2 linked regions of the Tamandua tetradactyla genome follow. The protein of the gene in region 2 binds, or shares a complex with, the protein of the main gene of each other region. Links are inferred from orthologs where the notes say so. Each region holds a gene or a part of one and is shown on either strand. Other genes may lie near its edges.

Region 1 (7,690 bases), on a different chromosome or scaffold from region 2:
CTCTCTTCCCTACCACCTTTGTGTCATTTGTCTAGAAAGAAAAGGAATGTAGTAAGATACCATTTTTAACTCCGTCCTACCAAACTCTTAGTCATCCTCTATTTTCCTTGGGCAGTGAAACTCTCAAATTTCTGAGTACCCAGAAATTTAAGGACTGGGAGGGTACCATTTGGCTTTCCAGAAATGCATACCACTTTAGGTTGATTTGTGTCCTGCAACCATAGTTCTCTTATTTTGTTTCTCATGGTAAATAAACTAAATTTCTACAAGAGCTTCTTGGCTTGCTGTTTGTTTCTTGGACACTTTCTTTTTTTTTTTAATAATTTTATTTTATTTTTTAAATATCAAAAAAAGCCCACCAAATAAATGCAGACATTCCTATTTTGATCATTCTGTTCTACGTATATAATCAGTAATTCATAATATCATCACATAGTTGCATATTCATCATCATGACCATTTCTTAAAAAAAAATAAAACGAAAACAGAAAAAAAAAATTATACATACCGTATCCCTTACCCTCCCTTTCATTGATCACTAGCATTTTAAACTAAATTTATTTTAACATTTGTTCCCCCTACTATTTATTTTTATTCCATATGTTCTACTCGTCTGTTGACAAGGTAGATAAAAGGAGCATCAGACACAAGGTTTTCAGAATCACACAGTCACCTTGTGAAAGCTATATCGTTATACAATCATCTTCAAGAAACATGGCTACTGGAACACAGCTCTACATTTTCAGGCAGTTCCCTCCAGCCTCTCTACTACATCTTGAATAACAAGGTGATATCTACTTAATGCGTAAGAATAACCTCCAGGATAACCTCTCAACTCTGGAATCTCTCAGCTATTGACACTTTGTCTCTTTTCACTCTTCCCCCATTTGGTCGAGAAGGTTTTCTCAATCCCTTGATGCTGGGTCTTAGCTCATTCTAGGGTTTTTCTCAATCCCTTGATGCTGAGTCTCAGGTCATTCTAGGATTTCTGTCCCACGTTGCCAGGAAGGTCCACACCCCTGGGAGTCATGTCCCACATAGACAGGGGCAGGGTGGTGAATTTGTTTGTTGTGTTGGCTGGAGAGAGAGGCCACATCAGAGCAACAGAAGAGGTTATCGTGGGGGTGACTCTTAGGCCTAATTTTAAGTAGGCTTGACCTATCCTTTGTGAGGTTAAGTTTCATATGAACAAGCCCCAAGACTAGGGACTCAGCCTATAGCTTTGGCTGTCCGCACTGCTTGTGAGAACAAAAATTCAACTTGGGGAATATTTTTTTCTCAATGATTATTTTTAATTTCAACTTAAATAATTTTAATTTCAAAAGTAATAAACACTAAAAAAAGTACATATTTTTCACTTGATAAATGTTAGACATAGATCTAAATTGCTGTGAGAATGGTAGAAAGCAAGTATTCCCCTAGTCCATTTTTTACTGCATTCTTCTATCTATTGCTAGTTACAGCCAGTATTTATTAAACACTTTCCATTGCCTGTCACTGTTCCTGATTACACTGGTATTTTGCTTGTCATGTGAAAGGACTTAATTGGGTGAAGTGCCTTTGATTAAAATATGTCCTTTTTAAATTTTTATGTCTTTAATAAACAATACATTCACAGAATTCAAAAATCAGTGAGTGTGAAAAGCTAAACTGTTAAAAGTCTTCTTCCCGCCTTTTCCCTCAATATCCAGTTGTTATCACTTTCCCCCAAAAGGTAACCATTATTATGCCCTTAAATCCTTCCAGAGATTCTTTTTAATGTATAAACAGGCATATATGAATATATTCTTCCCTATCACCCTTTAATACACAAATGGAAGCATATTATTTAACAATTCTGCATCTGGTTTTCTCACTTAGCATATTTTAGACTTGTCCATATCAGTGTATTAGTTTCTTCACTCTATTTTTACTTCTCTGCATAGTCTTCCATTGTATGATATGCCATAATTTATGTAAGTTTTATTTATCAAAGACATTAATAAAGTCCTTTTTGATGGACTTTTAACTTATTTCCAATGTTGCTATTATGAACAAGGCTGCAATGAATAATTTGATCATGCACTGTATAGGTGGGACAAGTATGTTTAATCTCCTAGAACTGAAATTTATATTTTTTACCTTTATTTTGAGTTTCTTTCTTTCTTTTCTTTTTTTTGACATGGGTAGGCACCGGTAAATGAATCCGGGTCGTTGGCATGGCAGGGAAGAATTCTGCCACCAAGCCACCATCACACTGCTCTTGAGTTGCTTTCTTAAGCAGTGTCCCCAAAGCCCGCCTTCTCAAAATTTTGCATACTACTTTGATAACACTTTCTCAAGCTACATTCTTTCTGTAAACATAGGTAAGCTGGTGATAATAACTTTTTTGTGAGTTTAAAAATTAAATTACAGGGCGGTGCGATGGTGGCTTAGCAGGCAGAATTCTCACCTGCCATGCCAGAGACCCGGGTTCGATTCCCAGTTCCTGCCCGTGCAAAACAAAACAAAACAAAAACAACAAATTAATGTGAATATAAACAGTTGCGTGAACTGAGATATGAAAAAAGTTGGCGGTCCTTGCCTCTTCAAGCTTATCTAATTTAGGACATACATATGAAATTGTGAAATTAGACAAAATTTTGAGAAGCACTGAAGAATCATTGCTAAGTCCTTAAGAGAGTGATAAAGAAAGAAAATGCTATAAGTACTGTTTTGAAATAATGTTCACTGTACAATAGAAAGGGAACAGCGAGGTGAGTAAATACCGAGATAATAGAAAAAATTTAAAAAGCAGAAACAAGTTTAAAAATACAAAAAGGAAAATTCAGGCTTCTGTTTGACTCCCTCTCTCTTAATTCTCTCAATTACCATCTAGTATTTTCCTTATTAACATGCTTATATTTCCCCATTAATGTAAGGCCAATAGAAATACTAACCTGTAAATGGACAAATTTTATACATGTAAAATGTTATCAATAATAATTATGTAAGCAATTCAGACCTTAATGAGAAAGGTAACCTAGAATCAATTACGTGACAGGTGTTGGGGAGAAAAAGGGTTGCATAGGAAAAGATTTGACTATAGAAGTTTAGAATTGAAAAGGATTTTAAGAGTCCCAACTCTTAATGTTACATGTTTGTAATCTGAAGTCTACAGTGGTGGAGAGTTTTGAACAAAGACACAAGTTGATTTAGTGACAAAGCTGGGAACTAGGATTTGGGTCTTCTGACTCCCAACTCCTTCCGGTTTTCTCCTAAATTACACCACTTGTGCTTGAAAAAAAACATAGTAGATTTTGCACAGGTATAATTTTAGAAGCCTGTGTTAGATCTGTGAAGGAAAGAATGAGTACCTAACGTGGTGCTTGATACACAGAACCCAGATGTTTGTTTAGGAAGCTGAGGACCAAAAGGATGAAGTGACTTACACATTTTTTCCCACCTAGATGTGATTTCTCCCTTCTTTTACTTTTTTTATCCTTAACTCTTTTCAAATACTTCAAGTTTGTGTCATAGTAAGTGTGTATGTCTGTCTAGTCCTACTTTTAGCCCAATTCCCAAGCAGCTACATTAGGGCAGGGGCTGGTCCTGATTTATCTCTACATCCTCCATTGTACCCAGCACAAGATCTTAAACAATAGCAGATATCTCTAAGTACTACAATAGATATGTTGCATTCTGGCATATCTGAATGGGAGACATATTCCAGAGGAGGGAAGGAATACCCAGAGTTCTCCCTATCTGAGCCTATCCCACCTCACTCTCAAAATTAGATTGGGAGTTGGATTCTGTATGAGGAAAAAATAGGAACGTCCAAAGACTAGGTCAGGTCTATTGCTAACTACATTGATTGCTCTCTTGTTCAATTGGAAGGCCCCACAGTCGTTTTTTCTGCCTGAGTTGATTCAGCTAACAGTGAGTTATTAAATTCCTAGTCCTGTGTCCTTTAGTCAGATCAATCCTTTTGGAGAATAGGAAATGAGATAGCTATCCATTAAATTCGGCAGAGAAACATGCCTGATAAGCGTCTGGGGAGCAAAGAGTCGCCAATTAGTGCCTACTAAGTACCGGGCTCTAGTCTACAAGCTGGGGATACAGCAGTGGAGACAACAGGCAAAATTCCTTGCCTTCTAGATGCTTAAATTCTACCGGGGCAGGGTGGGGGAGGGAGATGGCAACAAACAAGGTAAATAATAAAATGCATAGCATATCAGATAGTATTAAGGCAAAAAAAAAAGAGTAAGTAGGAAGTATATATGCTTGTGTGTATGTGGGGGGGCGGGGAGTGCAGTTTTATTTATGAGGCCAAAGAAAGCGTCTCAGCGAAGATGACATTTGAGTAAAATACCAAAGGAAGTGCGAGAAAAATAATGGATTTCTACGGACCATAAATGTCTTCTTGGTTATATATGCGTAGCATCTGTTTATTTGTAAGCAGCTTGTAATAATTTGGTCCCACCACAGCTTGAGTAGAAATAATGAAACGGCTTCTTCTCTGGGTAATATGGGAAGCTGAAAGAAAGGAGGCCAGGCGCGGAAGAAACCAGGTAGAAGATAATTAATTCCCCTCATATTAGTTGAACCGGTTCTGACAGAAAAAAAAAAAAAAAAGCAAATTAAAGTTCCTGTCCCTTTAAAAATGGCGGCGCCTACTCGCTAACAATACCATTGGTTGTACAAAGCAGGAGGGGGCGGGGCGAGAGGCCGGGCACGTGGCGGCGCTGAGGAGTCCCGCCTCCTACGGCGAGTCGTAGGTAATAAGATGGCGGCCGCTGAAGACAACTGTGAGGTTACGGCTGAAGCGGACCAAGAATTAGAAGAGCTTTTGGAAAGTAAGAGTCAATAACTGGAAAGGCCCAAAGGAGGCGGGTGTGAGGACCCATTCAGGGGATTAAGTGAACCTGATATATGTGGGGCAGAGTGGGAGAGGCTCTCCAAAGGTTGGACGGGGGCGGGCGAACCAGAGTGAAATCTCTGGATCACCCTCTCCCTACTCAGCGGCGGGAGCTGCGGAGTTCACCTTGGGTCCCTGAGCGGCCCAGACCGTTGATCTCTCTGGGAAGATATCCCAGAGATGGGAAAACTGTAACCCATAGGACGATATCTCTCCAAGCTCTCCTTGCTTTAGATCAATACATTCTTTAAGTTTGACTTCCTTTCCGCCAGCAGCAGCATTTTGTCCTCCGTGGACAGCGAAGCAGATACTTATAGATTGTTCACATTAAATCTTCAAAAGCCCTAGATTGTCTTTCAGTGCCCCTGGCCTGTCCACACAAAAGACACTTCGTTCCTCCTCCCGTTATTTTCACCCTTCTCTCACCCCTTTCCAGTTCTTTGATCCTGTCATTAACTCTAGTGGATTTCTGCCCCATTTGTTTAAGAAACTGAGAGACGACCTCAGGGGAAGCCAATTCACTCTCATAAAAGACGATGTTCTTTTCTTCTTTTCCCTATTCTTCACAACTCTGTTGGTTTCTTGCCCAGAGTGGGGTCAGTGCCCTCCCCCCAGGCCTGGCAAGCAGAGTGGTGGTGACATCACACGCTTTACAGGGCGGAGGTGAATTTTGCGTCTCTAGCTCAGTCATAGTGATTGTGGGAGCGGGGTGGGGGGGGAGAGGGGTCAGAAAGATGAACAGAAACAGTGGAGGAGTGTCAATTGAAGGTGAATTGGCACGTGATTATTTGCAGAGATGAGACCAGAGGGATAATTAAATTGGACAACAAGAGAAGATTTAAAGCCCTCCCAGGGAATGCATAATGTAGTCCCGCAGTTTGCAATAGTACCAGGTCTGATAGGAAGCTAATTAAGCCTCCCATGAATTAAACTAAACATCATGGTTTCTGTTTTCTTGCCTAAGATTATTCCCTTTACGTCTCCAAAGTGAGTTCAGGGAGCTATGGATATCTATGTTCCCTACTCCTGTTGGATATTTGTATAGAATTTCTAGGGAATCATTAATAGAATGTGTTGAGGAAGGCACAGTAGAGATGGAGGTGTACTTTGCTATTTGCAGCACTTCCTTTAACCTTCTTCCAGCTCTGAGACATATTTGCCTATTCTACCATAAATGATTTCTTTCCCTTTGACTGTAGTAAATTAGGTAATGGGGAGGGAAGTGGGAAGCTTACTGTGGTGTAGGTGGGAAGGGAAGACTTAAAAAAGAAAAAAAAATTAGGAAAGTTGGCAGTTTGTAAGATCATTCTCTTAATGCTTTGTCCCAAAAGCACCCAGCCTTGCATCCTTACCTGTCCTCAACACACTCCCCATGTCTCTTGTCTCTGAAGGTGCTCTTGATGATTTCGATAAGGCCAAACCCTCCCCAGCACCCCCTCCTACCACCATGGCCCCTGATGCTTCGGGGCCCCAGAAGAGATCGCCAGGAGACACTGCCAAAGTATATATTCCACCCACTTAAGGGAAGGGGAGGGAATGTTCTTGCAGCTCTGAGCAGAGGTGGGGCAGGGCAGGCCCCTGTGGGCCAGAGGGGAGTGGGGCATGGTGCCTTGGCCTCACATTGCTGAGTGCTTTTGCAAATGTCTGTCCTCGTGAAACAAGGACTTGAGATTGAGTGGAGGAATCTAAAGGAAGTTCCTTGAGAAAAGAGAAGGTTTAAATAGCTGGCTTGGGGTGCCACCCTATATTCTTCCCTCAGTGGTTGGATGCCTTTCTTTCTGTCCTCATCAGGAGAGGCAGTTAGAATCTCCAATGGAGGTGAGTAGGAGGGAAGCACTGCATTTCCTTAGAGCCATTCTCTGTGGCTTCTGCTAGGGCCCAGGTACAGTGAAATGCCAAGTAGAAGATGCATTTTGACCACCCCTCCCTTGCAGGATGCCCTCTTTGCCTCCCAAGAGAAGTTTTTCCAGGAACTGTTTGACAGTGAGCTGGCTTCCCAAGCCACTGCAGAGTTTGAGAAGGCAATGAAGGAGTTGGCTGAGGAAGAGCCCCACCTGGTGGAACAGTTCCAAAAGCTCTCAGAAGCTGCTGGGAAAGTGGGTGAGAAGGGGTCTCCAAACAGCAGGAAATACATAAGCAAGCCATTTAAGTCATATCTGCTTGAGAACACCAGAATTCTTAGTAAGGTTGACAGTAGTCATGATGCCACTGCCTTGGGGTCAGGTGAGGAGATGGAGGGAGGAGTGGGAACCCTCCTTAGTGAAAGGGATGAGATAGGTTGGAAAGTAATAGAAATGATTATTCAAAACTGATCATTTTTAAGATCACAATGTTATTCTGGGTGTCATCATGCAGAATAAACAGATACACAGTCTGTGCAGATTCATGACAATGACTAAGATACCATAGAGTAGTAGATTTAGTGTGGTAGTGATTCAGTAGTATTTGTTCCAGATCCGAGCTTGTAACCAGGTCAGTCTAACCAAGTAGACAGTTACAATCCTAAATGACCCTGGTTTTTTTATTGCTCCCAGGCAGTGACGTGACCTCCCAACAAGAATTCACTTCTTGTCTAAAGGAGACACTAAGTGGACTAGCCAAAAATGCTACTGACCTTCAGGTAAGGGGATAGGGGCGGGAAACTACAAGACACCATCACCAACAGAATCTCAAAAGACAAAAGCTCTTGGGCATCATTCCAAGTCCTTCGCTCCCTTACTGTTTTGCTACAGGCAAGTGTAAAATAGTTCTTATCTGGGCTTCAACTTTCCCAAATGAGGGAGTGGTGACATATACCAAGAAAGCAGTATAGTT
Region 2 (7,161 bases):
TTGAGGAATATTGAAGTTGTATGTATATTGTGTTATATCAGTCTTACAACAACCCGAGGAGATTGGTCCTATATTTATTGTCTCAATGAGGCACTGAGAGGTCATGCAATTTGCCCAACGTCACATGGCTAATAAACAGCAGAGCCAGGATTCAGATTCGGGCAGCCCAACTTTGGCCCACAAGACTCATCTCTCTGCCATGGTGCTTTTTAGTTGCTGTGTGTCTGTGAGTTATTTGAAAACAGGTTCATGTCTCGTTCATCTTCATCCCCAGGATCTAACACTGCGTCCGGCACATAGAAGGCTGTCAGTTAACGTTGCTTAATAAATGCTTAAAAGCCAGACAAACAGCAATCAGTTGACTGTGTAGTAAAATTAATCATGATGAATGTGGGACTGCATAGGTCATTTTACATATAGCCAGTGTTTCTTACCTGAATTATTGTATGCCCACTTCTCATCACCAGCCAGTGCCACAAACTTAGTATTGGAAGGTAGACACAGGAAGTAATCATCATCATCCACTATGGTGCCATCCTCTGCCAGGACCAGGGTAACTGGTGCCAGGGACGTATCAATAGCCAGAATGTCACAGGCTGAGAGGGATAAAATATTTGGCAACTGATGAATTCTATCTTTGACAGAACTCAAGATCCAAAGAACAAATTCACATTCATATGGAAATTACATCTGTCCTTGCCTTATCAACATGTATGCCTCCAGGATCTAGCAGAATTCCTGGCATGTAATAGTAGTAATAACTACAATAACAACTGCAACTATTAGCACCAATCACTATAGCTTTACCGTGAAACTGGCACTGTTCTAATTGCTTTTCATATATAGTATTTAATCCTCACAACAACCCTACAAGGTAGGTACTATTAGTATCATTCGCATTTTACATTTGACAAAACCAAGGACAAGTGAGGTACCTGGTCAAGGTAACACAGTAAGTGGCAGAGCTGGGATTTAAACCCACTATGGTTCTTAAAAATGTGTTTCCTAAAGCTACTCTACTACACCACACACAGGAGACACTCAAGCCTTTACTTCAATGAATGACAAACTATACCAAAGTCTGGCTTGATTCTTTGTGAAGAAGAAATCTTTCATTCATTTATTCAGTGGTCATCTTAAATTCTCCTGTATCAAAAGTCAAAAAAAGAAAAGGAAGAAAAATGCTTTTTGTTCTTTATAGCATCTTTCTTTTGAGGCCTTTCTACCCTCCAGGAAAGGATAAGAGAAGGAGAGGTTGCATTAGTAGCTTTTCATCTTTATTATCCCTGGGCAAGAGCAGTGTCGTAGCATGCCATTTAGTGACAGCAAAGCTAACTATGTGAATGGGACTGGAATAAGCAGAAGTAGTCCAGACACTACAAATATTGTTAGTACATGTTGTCTATCATCCAAGCAGAAAAGCAAGACTTGTACAGGCCAAGCCCTCCAGAACACAAGCACCTGCCCAAGCCTCTGGGCCAGCCAGGTACATCCAGCTGATGCAATGAAGTGGCAATAAGACTTAAGTAACCTAATACCCAGAAGAAACGTAAGGCAAAAATCCATGTCACCAAAGCATTTATACTACTTGGCTGCTTCTGGAAGTCTGAGAGACTTCTATATGGTAATCTTTTGGGGTTTAAGTGACCCTGAGAGGGAGCACAGCTTGCCCGCACTCTTAACTACAGGCCTGGGGCTGGCTGGCACATTTAACTCGTTTGGATAAACAATTTGTTGCTACGTGCTAATAACACGTCAATCATTTGAATGTAGCATCTCATTTGAGAGTTCCAACAATTCTGTGAGTCAAGGATGGAAATATTATATCCTGTTTTCAGATGAGAAAAATCAGGCGCAGAAGTGTTAAGTGCAAGGTCAAGCGGCTAGGAAGAGTATGAGGTCAGGGCTCACGACTCAGAACTTCTGTGAGCTCAGGCATCCATAACACCGTCCCTTTTTCCGGACCGCCAGATCAGTTGGAAGCAGCTCTGTATCTGCGCCCAGGTACCTGCCACAGCTGATGGTGGACCTTCATCTCCGGCTCGGCTAGAGGTCCTAGGACCACTTCAGTGAGCCGGAGTGGCACGAATACCCTGGGCTAGATTTAATATGAAAAATTTTAGGCAAGACATCGAAGCCGAGTTGGTCTTAATAACATCTTGCTACGGGCCTACTTTTCCATCATTATGACTCTCACACAGGAGGGATTCGGTTACAGGGTCTGTAAACTACTATCAATGCTTTGAAATCTACAAAGCATTATATCCACGTAAGTCATTTCTGTGCGGCTCCCCACGGCTCCATCAGAACTCCACGTCCTGGGGATCATCTCCCCGTCCCCCGCCCAACTTCCTCACCCGTTCCCGTGTCCCCCAGACCCCCGACCCAGTTCCGTGCCAACCCTTGTTCCTCAGCTCCTCGAGGCAGGAGGCCGCCACGCCGTACTGTTCGCGGCTGTGGTTACTACGCAGCAGACAGGGCTTCAGAGCCCGGGCTTCGCCGTGCTCGGAGGCCCCAGAGACCCCAGTCACCTCCATCCTCTTCTAGGCGGGACTTGTCTGACTCCTGGAAGTGGGGTAAGCTCGGCGAGGCGGGACCCCCTCGCCCGCGGCATGCCGGGAGATGTGGTTCTTTCTGCCGCAAACCACGCGTGGGACCAAGGCACGCCGGGAGATGTAGTCCCCTGTCGTCCCTAATCATGTGCCGACCTCGGGGCACGTCGGGAGTTGCAGTCTCTCAATCTAAAAAAATCTCAGTTTCCTTAACGTCGTGCCATTCACCTAGGCAGTATTTTGTTTCAGCCTTATATTTAGGAGTTACAATTGCACGTTAAACAGATGAGGCCAATAGGAATTTATTTCGCATAGTGAAATACACGCATGTATACTCCTCGAATATTTAGAGCACTTCTATTTGTATATATAGTGCGTAATATTAATATGCAAACAAGACAAAGTTGATTGGTTTTACCTTTTCAATCTGAAAAGATCTGTAGGATCCAACCTTCCAACTTCCTTGATTTGAAGGAAGTCAATGTTAAATATTAATAGGTGTAGTTTTCAGTCACACGTAACGAAGTAGCATAAAATACTTGCACATTTCCATCCATTTGGTTCCCCGCTTCAGCTTGTGCAAGTTGGGTTGGGCCCTCAGCACAAGATGGTTAAATAAATAGATTTAAACATTATAGCAACAAAGCAATCAGAGGAAAGGGGAAATGTGAACCAAAGTTCTGTTTGAGATTCTAAGAGATGTTGTTTGACAATCCTTGTTCTAATACTACTACTTACGGAAAAACTAACATTCAAGATTTGAAGAATTAAAGAAAAATTTTACTAAAAAGCGTCTCCGCTTTAAAAAGGAGTGTTTTATGTAAAAAGAACTAATTGTTGGCCCATATTCATTCAGGGTCAGTCTCTTGCATATTTTGCTTATAAAAATTTGGCTGAGAAATCAGTTATGTCATAAGAAAAGTGTGTGTATTTAAAACGGTCTTTGGTAGGAGGGCTTGTTAATGAGTATTCCTCAGTTGATCAAAACACAATACAATATGAGTTGGCTGATGGTTCTAATGTATGCATCCCTTTTCATATAATCACATATTTAGTTTAAAACTTAACTCAAATACTCTTCTCTTGTTCCCCCAAAAGACCCCTCACATAGTTATGGGTGTCCTGTCCTCACAATGATCTATTTAATCATGGGTGGATGGATGGTGGGTTGGGGTGTTTTGCCTGGACTTTTGGAAGCAGGGATTGGCTCTTTATTTCTAGCGTCTAACAAAGTGCCTAGCAAATAGTAGGCGCTCAATAAATGGTACTGGACTGAATGGCCAAAAATTAATTTGCAATTCATTTACTATATACTTAGCAAGTCAATAAATATGCCCAAGGTACTCTGGGGATGGGTAGATACTTAATTCAACAAGAATGACAGACACATAACAATTCAAAGAGGATAGACTTCGGAAATTCTCTAAAGTAGAGACTTATCGGAGATTGTGCTAGCTGACTCGGGCACTCCGGTCCCCCTCCTCCTCCCTCCGTTTCGGGCCCTCTACCCCAATCGACCGGTTCAATTCCTGCTACTTTAGTCTGGACGGGAGAGCGAGAGCAAGGGCGCTTGGGAGATGCCTCGCTCAGCGGCGATAGATTAGTCAAGCCTCAGAAAGATGGCGTCCTCGGAGCAGGCAGAGCAGCCGAGCCAGGTAAGGGGAGCAGGATTGCCCAGTCGTGGCCGCGGGGACCGCGGCTGGAGGGGGCGCTCGGCGCTCGTCCAGGAGCTAGGTGGGGACCCCGAGTTTCCGAAGCCGCGGTCCTCGATCTCTGTTCTTCCATGGGCCCCGCCCCTCTCCGGGTCCCCGCCCGACCCCCTCCCTCAGTGACCCCTCTTTGACCACATTTCGGAGCCCGGGTTCTAGGGCTCGGCTGCATCCGTGGGTCACCATTTGCCACTGCCAGCTCCTCCGATCCCACTTGAGTTTGGCGGGGACAGTGGTTGGACCCTTAGGAAACCCCCAGCCCAAGGCTCCGAGGGCATTTGCTTGATGGAGGTGAGAAGCTTCTTCGTTCCTGGCTGCCTCCTTGGGGGATGGGCCGGCCCCCTCCGGGGTCCAACTCCCCCACAACCTCAGTGTCCTGGGGTTGTCCAGCTGCCAGCTTCCTCGTCTTTAGTCACCTTTGCGCTCTCGCCCCCAAATTGGAGGGTCGGGATTATACTCACACTCTCGGCGGTGGGGTGGGGGGTGGGGGCGAAAAGGACGCACAGTAACAACAGACGCCGCCCAGCCTTTGGCAGAGAATCGGTCTTTGCTTTCCTGGGTTTGGCTTTCTCGGCCAAAGGTTCCACTCTAGCCTTTCACCCACAAATTTCAGCCAAATCTCACGCCAGTAGAGGGATCATGAGGACCAGTGTTCACGCCCCTAAGTCTGCTGTCAGGGAGAGGTGGTTGATAAAGGTCTCTGAAGAGACTTTTAGCCCGAAGGTGGGGTAGGGTGGGGTGAGGTAAGTTTACGAGTGTGTGCTATCAAGTTGAGCACAGTTTATGTTTATGAGCTCAGGCTATTAACCCCCATTTTATAGAAATGGATACTAAGGTTCTGTAACATGCCGAAAATCTGTTATGCTCTTGATTGAGCCAGGATTTAAACCTAGGTAAATGTGGCTCCGCTAGTCAGCCATATATGCTTCCATCTAGTTAGAATTAGATAGAGGAAGGAAAAACTGTTTTTTAACCTGACACCTCATCATTTATCTCTCTTCTCTAGTCTCTTGAAACACCTTCAGGTGGTTTCGATAATTTACTGATATATCTTTTCCTTCCTAGGTAGAAGACCAGCATTTAGTGTTTCATATTTTCTTATTCACTGTGAGTCTGTACAGGAACTGCACTTAAAGGAGTTGTTGTGTGCCCAGACCAGCCTCTGCTAACAGTGTGTATTATTCAGGAAGATGATGTCTGGGATGTAAAGCATAAAAAATAGGGCTGACTCTGGCCTTGTTAACTGTCAGAGTTCTGGAGTTTGGGAAGTGTCTATAGAGGAGGAGCCTTCCTTTCTTGCCTTATTCCACTCAGCTGAATTATTGAGGCTCCTCAAGATCTGGACTTCTTTGAACTGTTATGTGTTAGGAACATCCACAAATGGGGATTCGAGGTGACTTAGTCACTGATTCTTCTAGGACATACCATTTACCAGTGCTATGAAAGTCACTAAATATCTTGCCACTTGGAGCCATTGCAGTTCCCAGGGCTTTCTTTGGTTTTGGAACTTGACCTCTCTGTCCATGTGAAAAAGGATCTAAATACCTTTAAGGGGGCTTGGCCAGCACTTGTTTGGTTTTCAGCTCTGGTTCCCTTTACGGTCCTTTCTAAAGCTGGTGGAGATGGGATTACCTCAGAATATGTAGGCAGCCTGTGGAAAAACCTGAACTCTCCAGGCTGAATTCTATCGATGTCTAACAATAAGGTTCAAATGCGCACGTTTAAGTGAATCAACTCTCTTTAGTTGCTTGTCATTTCGTTTTAAGTCCTAATCTATCTGGTGTACCGTTTTTCTGCTAGAGTATGATTGAAAGAACTATTTGGTAATTCAGCAACCAAACCTGGTTTGTATATACACAAGGTTAGGCCTATAGGACTGGGGGAGTGAGTATTCTTTCTCTTATAGAAAATTTGATAGTTAGCCTTGTGGCATCAGTCTCTGGTTTCAAAAGATTAAGGGTGAACATCTTCAGAGAAGAGCAGAGAATATGCTTGAATCTGCAATCAATGTGATCGAATCTACTGAACATATAGATTTCAAATCTTTTTCGATTCACTGGATATAGTAAGTTTTGGATTGAGAAAACAGACGCGGATAAGGAGGAGAGCACAAGCACTGGCCTTGCATTCAAACAGACTTTGGTTTGAACTCTAACACTCACTAGCTGTGGAACTTGTAATTACTTTCTGAGCATCGATTTTCTCCTCTATAAAATGGGAGTAATAACAGTTACTGTAGAGGGTTGCTATGGGGGTTGACAAACCACAGATATGAAGAGTACCTGGGACATAATAAGTGCTCAGTAAATGTCAGTTTTCTTCCTCAGGTTTCTACATATAGGCTCTTTTTTAGGTGTATGGTCCGGGAACCGAATACATGTTGCTTTGAAATTCTTTTGACCTCTTGAAATAGTAATAGTTCAAACAAGATATTTCCCCCTACAGAAACTTACAGGAAAGTTGAAAGAAGAGTGGAGAAAACTCCTATAAAACTTTCATGAAACCTTCATCATGAAACACTGTTTGTTCACATTTTGCCAGGTTTGCTTGATATCAATCTCTTTAATAGCTTTTTCTTTTGAAGTATTTGATAACTGAGTACCAGACATCATATTATTTTATCCCAGATTACTTTACCTTATATCTTATTTTCTTACTTACCCCCACATACCATTATTGCACAGGAAATTTAGTAGATTCACTAGTATCAAGTTTACCATTTACATTCATTCATTTTCTCAGTTAAAATCATCATGATCTCATCAAAAAACAGGATTGTGTTGCTTTGTCTCTTTAGTCTCCTTTACTCTAGAATGGGGTCCTAGCCTTTTTTTTAAACTTTTTTGTTGTATAGTATAACATATATACTAAGCAAAGAAATGAAAAAAGCAATAGTTTTC

The links. The genes of interacting proteins can lie anywhere in the genome.
Region 1: the proteins of PEX14 (region 2) and PEX19 are in contact, whole or in part, in an NMR structure (PDB 2W85), measured with the Homo sapiens proteins. The link is inferred for Tamandua tetradactyla from reciprocal best matches to the Homo sapiens genes PEX14 and PEX19. Residues at the interface, in NP_004556.1 of Homo sapiens: Leu28, Thr31, Ala32, Lys34, Phe35, Asn38, Ser39, Arg40, Val41, Ser44, Thr48, Phe52, Lys56, Leu58; in NP_002848.1 of Homo sapiens: Gln67, Phe70, Phe71, Leu74, Phe75, Ser77.

What each region holds. Positions count from the first base shown.
Region 1 is NC_135330.1:13,332,785-13,340,474, reverse strand, and holds the start of PEX19 (peroxisomal biogenesis factor 19), read left to right. Parts: upstream 1-4,682; 5' UTR 4,683-4,744; coding exon 4,745-4,814; intron 4,815-5,585; exon of another isoform or gene 5,586-5,610; coding exon of another isoform or gene 5,611-5,644; intron 5,645-6,267; coding exon 6,268-6,377; intron 6,378-6,810; coding exon 6,811-6,976; intron 6,977-7,410; coding exon 7,411-7,496; intron 7,497-7,690. UniProt on the Homo sapiens protein: Necessary for early peroxisomal biogenesis. Acts both as a cytosolic chaperone and as an import receptor for peroxisomal membrane proteins (PMPs).
Region 2 is NC_135328.1:214,913,646-214,920,806, reverse strand, and holds the start of PEX14 (peroxisomal membrane protein PEX14), read left to right. Parts: upstream 1-4,146; 5' UTR 4,147-4,171; coding exon 4,172-4,207; intron 4,208-4,279; exon of another isoform or gene 4,280-4,546; coding exon of another isoform or gene 4,547-4,552; intron 4,553-7,161. Other genes in the region: DFFA (DNA fragmentation factor subunit alpha), read right to left, coding at 435-596, 2,402-2,537. UniProt on the Homo sapiens protein: Component of the PEX13-PEX14 docking complex, a translocon channel that specifically mediates the import of peroxisomal cargo proteins bound to PEX5 receptor.